Coturnix japonica: one gene and its partner. The protein of the gene in region 1 purifies or fractionates together with the protein of each later gene. This does not show direct contact. Links are inferred from orthologs where the notes say so. Each region holds a gene or a part of one and is shown on either strand. Other genes may lie near its edges. The genes, in order: DCAF6 and TNNC2.

Region 1 (3,810 bases):
CACAGCTTTTTCTTTTGTACACGTCCTATTACAGTACAACAGGAAAATGAATTCAGGTATGCAAGTCTATAGGGAAAAGCAGGGAGAAGACGAACTTTTGAAGACTATAGTATTTCTGGACTTATTGATATAGTGTTTTGCTACTGTATTTTTTGTTATTTGTTTCAAAGAATGAAGTATTCTGTGATAGCTGCTAGTGAGTAAAATGGTGGTTTTCATTCTCAACTTTCAGCTCTAGTCCTTATGCAGTGAGATGGCAAACTCTGAACTTGTCAAGGACATGCTTTTCTATGTGCTTACCCAAAGCAGATGTGCCTTGCAGGAAAGCTATGTGGCAGATTATAGGTTTTTGGAAGAGTCTGTTTTTCTCTGTTAAGTCGTATTATAGGTAATTTTTGTATGCTTACAAGTTTGTAATACTGGAATTGAAGGCTGTTTTAGCATGTAGAATGGAGGTTGGTTGTCATGTAAACCCAATGTATTGAGCAGTTCTTCAGTCTCAAAGTGACAGTATCATGTGTCAAATAAGGAAAAACTGGTGTTTTTATAGTTTATTTAGAATGTAAAGAGAAGATGTCCTTAAATTTTCAAAGTTCTATAGAATGACTTCCTTGCAAATTTGTGTGGTGATGCGTAACTGCATTATTATTGCGTACAAGTTCTTCTGTTCCTAAATGTTCATCTGTACTAAACTTTACAGATGGTATCCATATCCCATCATGTGATTGGTATTTGATATATAAGTATGGTTGTCTGTATGTTTTCACCTTTCTCTGTAATGTTCTGATAAGTATTTTTTTATTTTTGTTTGCACCCTGTAAGATCTGATTTGTCACTATTCAGAACCAATGCAGTACAAAAGCTGTAGGTTGCTTAGCTAATCTCTGATCATCTTTGGATGTTAACAAAGGAGTATATTGAAACTGCTTGTAGAAAATTTGCAATAGTGAATGTATTCTTTCTCGTTCTCACACAGGGAATTATGCTGGTAGGGGCACTATTGGAATGGTGGCACGTTTTGTTCCTCCTCATCTCAATAACAAATCTTGCCGTGTAACGTCTCTATGTTATAGTGAAGATGGTCAAGAGATCCTTGTTAGCTACTCATCAGATTACATATACTTGTTTGATCCCAAGGATGATACAGCACGAGAACTTAAAGTTCCTTCCTCTGAGGAAAGACGAGAAGAGGCAAGTGATTAAGATGACCTGTTTTCTTGTTTTCTCTTCCCCACCCCCAGGGCAATCCTACCAGTTTGTATTTCCCTTGAATTGAATCTTGAGCCATCTTGTGATTCTCAAACACTGTTCTTAAAATAGTTTTAGACTATCTACGGTATGTTGGGTTTTTAGGTTTTTTTAGTCTTGTATATTTTATAATTCATCATTTTCACCATGATTACCTGTGGATTCCAGTAATGTAGGGAATTTGAGACATTTTGAGGGAAACTTTGCAGTTCCTAGGTCATAGAGAAGTTTAAACTCTGGCAGTTACTGGAAGAAGAGTTATGTTATAGGGTCTGTGACCCAGAGCTCTTTAACTTAATACCCATGGACAAGGATCTTGGTCTTGGTTATTGTTGTACCCTTAACATTCAATCATATTAAACAGCATAACTTTATAGAATTACATAAAATTCAAAATATATTCTGAGATTTGAAAAACGTAGCTAAAATGCCTTTTGAAATATCAGTGAAATCATGAAATGCAATTGTTTGAACAGATTTTTATGAAACCAGATAAAGTGTTTTTATGATAGGATGTAGAGTTGAGGACTAAAGCAGAGAGAAACTAATAGTTGAAAGTGGAATGTACCATTTGCCACATGTCTGCCCTCATGCCATGCCCATGCTATTGGATGTTTTATCTAAGCCCATTCCCTCTGGGTGATGGATTCTTTTTTTGCAAATATTGTTTTGGATAGTGATTTGTAGGATTGAGGAAGAATGTCCAGCTGAGTTAAATTGTTACCTGATGGAGACAGAGGAAAGCAAAGAAGAACTCAGAAAAACAGTGCCATAAATAAGTGGTTTCTCATCTTACTTTTTCCTGTGTAATTGCAACCTAATGTAAAGTAAATCAGTGGAGAATTTATTGCCTGCTTTTATGCAGAGGGAAGATTGTGACTACTTATTAATAGCAGATCCTAAGTGTTCTTCTGTATGCATGGAATACATTCTACAAATTCATTTTGTCAGATAATTTCACTTAAATGGTATTTTTATTTCAGTCTTGCTTTAAATTCCACAGAGTAGAAAGGATGTGAAGTTTTCTTCCCAAATCTGCTGGCTCCTGAATGTTAACACTTCAATTTACTTTCAGGAGTTTTGCGTTTAAATCTCAAATTGACAGCACAACTGGTTGCTATTGTTGTTACATGTTGTTGCGTGGTTTTGTTTTTGTAAACCATGAACAGCCAACCAACACGCTGTATTTCCAAGTATGAAATGCCTTTTTGAATGTACAGAACTCTGGCTGTTTTTTTTCAGGTTAGCAGAAGTAGCACTAACTGGATACTATTCTTCTTGTACTACTTGTCACACGAAAAAATATTTCAATTAAAAAAAATTCTGTTGAGCTAAAATTATTGCTGCCTTTTGATACAGTGTTGTGCTTATTCATAGTTGATCTGAACATATGGCGGGTGCAGTTTTTTTGTGCGTGACAAGTTTTTGTACCCTAAGAAAATGGGAATGTAGCATTTCTTTTTAAACTTGAAACTTTGTATTGCTCAGTATAAATGACTTTATGATAGCTTTCTTCTTTCTTTTTTTTTCCTAGTTACGGCAACCTCCTGTTAAACGTTTGCGGCTAAGAGGAGATTGGTCAGATACTGGCCCAAGAGCAAGGCCTGAGAGTGAACGGGAGAGAGATGGTAACCTGTTTGCTCTTGTGGGGTAGGGATTGTCTAGAGGGGGAAGGAATGTTTGTTTCTTTTGTTTTTATCAGTTTTTGTTAGTACAGCAATGCTCCAAATAACTGTGTGTGTGTTTTAAGTGACTGTCAGGTCTTAAGTGTGTTTATTTTTAACCTAACAGGGAACTGCTGTTCTGTACTGATTTTAAGAACTGTCTCAATTGCAAACACACACATAAAAAGTTTCTTCAGTCAGGCTGATGTAAATCGAGGGCAGCATTCTGCTCACATTGTGCTTCCATAATCCCACAGACTTCTTTGTATATCTCTTCATATGAAGTGTTTCCCTTCAAAATTAGTTACTCCTTTGCTTTTTACTCAAAGTTACTTTCTATCTGAGCTTGGGTTTTTTTTTCATCAGTTAATGTTCTGCAGCATTCTTCTCGTTGTCATTTCCCTGTCGTATCAAGTAAATCTTCCAGGGAGAAAGTAAAACTTGAAAAAAGGACTTCTCCAGTATAGATACCGGTTAGATTTTTCTTTTGTCGTGACAAACCTTCTGTACCTTTACTGTGTGTTGTTTGATAGAATAGTGCCTGATGTGCTCAAGGGAATAGTTGATTTGAATTAGATTCAAGCACTCCATTTCAGCCATTGACAAATGGAATCTTTGGATAGAGCTTTGAGAGGAAGGAATTATGTTAATTTTTTTGTAATGCCACGCTCAGCTGTGCAGTTTGTGCTGTGCTGAGAAGTGGCATTGGTTGAGGGAATTACCAGTTATGTAGTTTGCCATGCTTTATTATATTTTTTTAAGAGAAGAAGTAACGGGGGGAGGAAATGAATGCTTTTGTAAAATGTTAAGCATCACTGTTTTTCCAGGTGAACAGAGTCCGAATGTCTCTCTAATGCAGAGGATGTCAGACATGCTGTCAAGATGGTTTGAAGAAGCT
Region 2 (4,029 bases), on another chromosome or scaffold:
GCCCCGCTGCCGCCTTGCAGAGCGCAGCCTGGGTAGCCACACACACCCCTCGTGCCCCGCAGCCTGAAGCAGCCCCTCTCCCCGGTGCCATCCTGTGCCACAGGGACTCAGCTGCTCAGTGGCTCTGTGGGGCAGGGATGGGTTCTGAGCTGGGGTCCTGCTCAGTGCCTGTCCTGTTGCTCCCGCAGGCACTGGGTGTTCCCTGTGAGCCCCGGCCCAGGGCACGTCCCAATCTTGGCACGCTTGTGGCTGTGCTCCTCCCCAGCTCCAGAGGCTGCACGGAGACACGGGTCCCCAGGGAGAGCTGGCACCAACCAGGCTGGCTTTTCAGCATTGCCTTAATCCCTGTGCAGAGGTGTGGCTGCTGTCTTGAGGTTTGGAGGGTTGGGAAGCAGTCCCCAACTTTTCGTGTCAGGATACCCCATCCTTTCAATCAGAAACCTAAGCAGTGCTTGGCCCCCTTCTCTCCCCCTTCCAAAATCCAGTGTGGTCACACATCCTGTGATGTGAGCAGGAGCAGCCTCCCAGTGCTGCCTTCTGGGACCCTGGGAGGAACAGGGCTGTGCTCCCTGCTGCTGCTGTCGTGGGAAGCGAGTGCTCCTGATGGAAACTCTGAGCTCAGCGCTGCCTGGCGCCCACCCAGCAGCCCATGGGAACCACTGCTCACACACTCACAGGTCAGCCCGGCTGGTACAGGGTATGGCACGGCATTGCACACACCCCCGTGTCCCCCTCCATGGGGTACAGTGCCACAGACCCCCCAGGCACTCCCATACTGGCAGCTCAGCCTTTCCCCCTTTTAATGAGGTTCATCCATAAACCACATCTGTCAGAGTCAAGGAAAAGCTCAGCCGCCAGCCGAGTGGCACGAGCTGCTGCAGGGCTCCAGCGGGTGGCAGCGAGGCCAGGCTCTGCGGCGGGGCCAGTCCTGGGCGGAGGAGCAGGGCTGGCTGCTGCAGGCGGCCCAAGGAATGTCTGATCCCTTACTGCACTCCCTCCATCATCTTCAGGAACTCTGCAAGAGAGCGGCGTTATCAGACCCAGCTGTGCCACACACGCAGCCCAAAGGGGCTGAGCAAGCTGCAGGGTGAGGTCCTGCCGCTCACCATCGAAGTCAATGCGACCATCATTGTTCTTGTCTGAATCCTTCATGAGATCTTCTATTTCCTCCTCGGTGACGTGCTCCCCGGTGGCCCTGAGAATCTCACCCAGCTCTTCGATGTCGATGAATCCATCAGCGTTCCTGTGGGAGAGGAAGGGCAGGATACGGCCCCGCTCACCACCACGGACGGGTGTCACCAGGCGCTGCCCCACTCACTTGTCAAAGATGCGGAAGCAGTTGGCCAGCTCCTCCTCTGACTTGCCCTTGGCGTCCTCTTTCATCTGGCGCACCATCATCACCAGGAACTCCTCGAAGTCGATGGTGCCGCTGCCTGTGGGGAGGGACCGTGATGTGGGTCAGGCTGAGCACTCCAGACACCCACCACCCCCATGGAGCCCACTCACCATCCTCGTCCACCTCCTCGATGATGGCGTCCAGCTCCTCCTTGGTGGGGTTTTGGCCCAGCATCCTCATCACTGTGCCCAACTCCTTGGTGCTGATGTCCCCACCACCGTCCGCATCAAACATATCGAAGGCAGCTTTGAACTCTGCAGGGAAGAGTGGTCAGTGCTGGGACACGGGCATTGGGACGGGCTCTGTGTTGGGATGGGGCCCTGTCCCCTCCCTGCTCACCAGCAATCATCTCTTCGCTGAGGAAGGCGCGGGCCTCCGCCTGCTGGTCTGTCTGTAAGGCACAGGGAGAAGGGGTCAGCTCCCACCCCATGCTGTGTGTCAGCACAGCCCCTGCCCAGGGTCAGCAGCGTATGGGGCTCTGCAGCAGCGTCTGGCACAGTGCAAAGCCTCAGCCTCCCTGGTGCAGCTGCAAAGCCTTCGTCCAGCTCAGCCCTGCAGCACGTGGCTGTTCCCTGAGTGACCCAAGGCCCCGGGCAGCCATGCAGCTCAACTGCCCTGAGCCCCATGCAGCCGCCCCCCGGTGGTCCATGACGCAGAGGCCGCCATGCTGCCTTGGCATCCCAAGCACCCGACACTATTTTTGGACTCTCCTCGACTCCCCTTATAGGGAGCAGAGCTCAGCGGGCACCTGTTTGCCCTGGATCGAGTTTCTCCTGGAGGCGCGGGCTGTCTGGGGCCGCAGAGGTGTCGCATGACCCAGCGCTCGGCTTTCAGCGCCTTCACACAGCCCAGCTCCAGCTCTGATCGCCCCATGCACCCATTAATTACCCCCAGCCAGCCGCACACTCCCTCTTTGGGGCACATCTTATAGGGGTACACATCCCATAGGGGGACATACGCCATGGGGAACGTATCCCACTGCCCCTACATCCATGCTACCTCCTGCCATAGCCAGCCTGAAGGGATCATCCCTCTGCCATCGCCCCATAGAGGTGCCTGGCAGCCCCACACCGCGGTGCCCAACACCTCCGGCCCAACCACAGCTCAACCCAGCACCACTGGAGCTCTTACCATTGACGCCATCTTTGCTGCTCTCTTCCTGCAGGGAGTCAGCACCTCCTGCACCAGCAGCCCCCGCACACTCCCTGGCTCCCCAATTTGTAGTGTCCCCGTGCCCCCAGCCGTTGGCCCCCAGCCCCAGCAGCCTATCAGCTCCCTGGTGGAAATCCGGCCCCGCTCATTGGCAACGGGCTCATTTTACCTAATTTAGCCAAAGCGTTATTGGCCAAGAGCAGGGGATTAAACGTGGGTCTGAAGCCGGGATAGAAATTCAAGCCCTGCAGGGAGGGACGCAGCATCTTGGCAGGAGTGCGGCTCCTTCATCTACACCTCCTTGTTCCAGGACAGCTCAGCATGGAGGGGGTTAAAAATAGCCCCAAAGAGCAGCATCCCCAACACCAGGACTGGGCTTCCCCCATGCCAGGCATTAGGGACAGGGCTGGGTAGTGCTGCCTGAACCTCTGCTAACCCAGGTGCCGCGGCTTGGGACAAGCAGGCAGCACTGGGGCCACGTCCCATCCCTTACCCCACAGCACCCCAGTTACTCTGGCTGTGCCCAAACCATCAGTCCCTCCTTTCACTCCTTTCTGTCCTAGAGAGGTCAAGGCGAAGCTGCAGCCCTCAGACCATCACTGTGAGCTGCAGGTGGGTGAGGAGCGTGGCCCTGCAGTGGGTCCTGGCACTGCTGTGGGTTCCCACTCTGCTGGCAGCCACTACCAGAAATGGCACGGCTGCTCCGTGACTTGGGGAGTGGGAACGATGCCCGTGGCCTCCTCAAAGGCTGCGGCTCTGCCAGGTCCGTGGCCCTGGGTCTGGCTGGCCAAGTGGCCCACAGCCTGCAGCTCTCCAAAAGGGTTTTGTGGCTGCAGAAGGGCTGTCGGTCCCTCGGGACCCTCTGCTGGGGCAGCTCTGCTGGCACCCCATGGATGGGGCAGCACAGCACAGCAAGGAGCAAGGACAGAGTGATGGCAGCAGCTGGACCATTCCTCGATATTAATAGACATTCCCAAGAAAGCAGCGAGGACAGAGCGGGGATGGTGCTAAATAAGGGCGGTGAGTGCCAGGCAGCGGCCATGGCTGCAGCCCAGGAGCAGGAGCGTGTGGCGAGGCTGGGGATGGCAGGGTGCCGGCTGAGGGTGCCGGGTGCCGGGATGTGGCGGTGTTGGGGCGCTGCGCTGTTGGGGTACCGAGGTGTCAGGGTGCCGGGGCACCGGAGGTTGGGGACCATCATGGAGCGGTGCCCGGGGATCGGTCACGGGCTGTGCGTGCACAGACGGAGCCGGACCGCGCCGAGCCGCGCTGCGCCGTGCCGGGACGTGACAGCCCCGCCGCGATCCGGGTTCCCAGCGGAGGCGGAGCCGCGCAGGGAGGATCCCGGGACGAGCAGCGGCGGAGCGGCCATCGCTCGGCACCGCCCGGAGCGGCCCGGCACAGCGCGGTACGGTACGGAGAGCAGCGCCCACAGCGGCAGCGGGGCTGAGCGGGGGGAGCGGGGTTGAGGGTGGGCGCGGGTC

What was found.
Region 2: the proteins of DCAF6 (region 1) and TNNC2 purify together in Homo sapiens (affinity purification with mass spectrometry; 3 studies listed by BioGRID and IntAct, with this or other methods). This does not show direct contact. The link is inferred for Coturnix japonica from reciprocal best matches to the Homo sapiens genes DCAF6 and TNNC2.

What each region holds. Positions count from the first base shown.
Region 1 is NC_029516.1:82,031,107-82,034,916, reverse strand, and holds part of DCAF6 (DDB1- and CUL4-associated factor 6), read left to right. Parts: intron 1-976; coding exon 977-1,191; intron 1,192-2,782; coding exon 2,783-2,876; intron 2,877-3,739; coding exon 3,740-3,810. UniProt on the Homo sapiens protein: Ligand-dependent coactivator of nuclear receptors. Enhance transcriptional activity of the nuclear receptors NR3C1 and AR. May function as a substrate receptor for CUL4-DDB1 E3 ubiquitin-protein ligase complex.
Region 2 is NC_029535.1:9,485,470-9,489,498, forward strand, and holds TNNC2 (troponin C, skeletal muscle), read right to left. Parts: upstream 2,633-4,029; 5' UTR 2,540-2,632; coding exon 2,528-2,539; intron 1,788-2,527; coding exon 1,736-1,787; intron 1,651-1,735; coding exon 1,507-1,650; intron 1,434-1,506; coding exon 1,319-1,433; intron 1,244-1,318; coding exon 1,107-1,243; intron 1,016-1,106; coding exon 984-1,015; 3' UTR 784-983; downstream 1-783. Other genes in the region: regulator of G-protein signaling 9-binding protein-like, read right to left, coding at 1-91. UniProt on the Homo sapiens protein: Troponin is the central regulatory protein of striated muscle contraction. Tn consists of three components: Tn-I which is the inhibitor of actomyosin ATPase, Tn-T which contains the binding site for tropomyosin and Tn-C.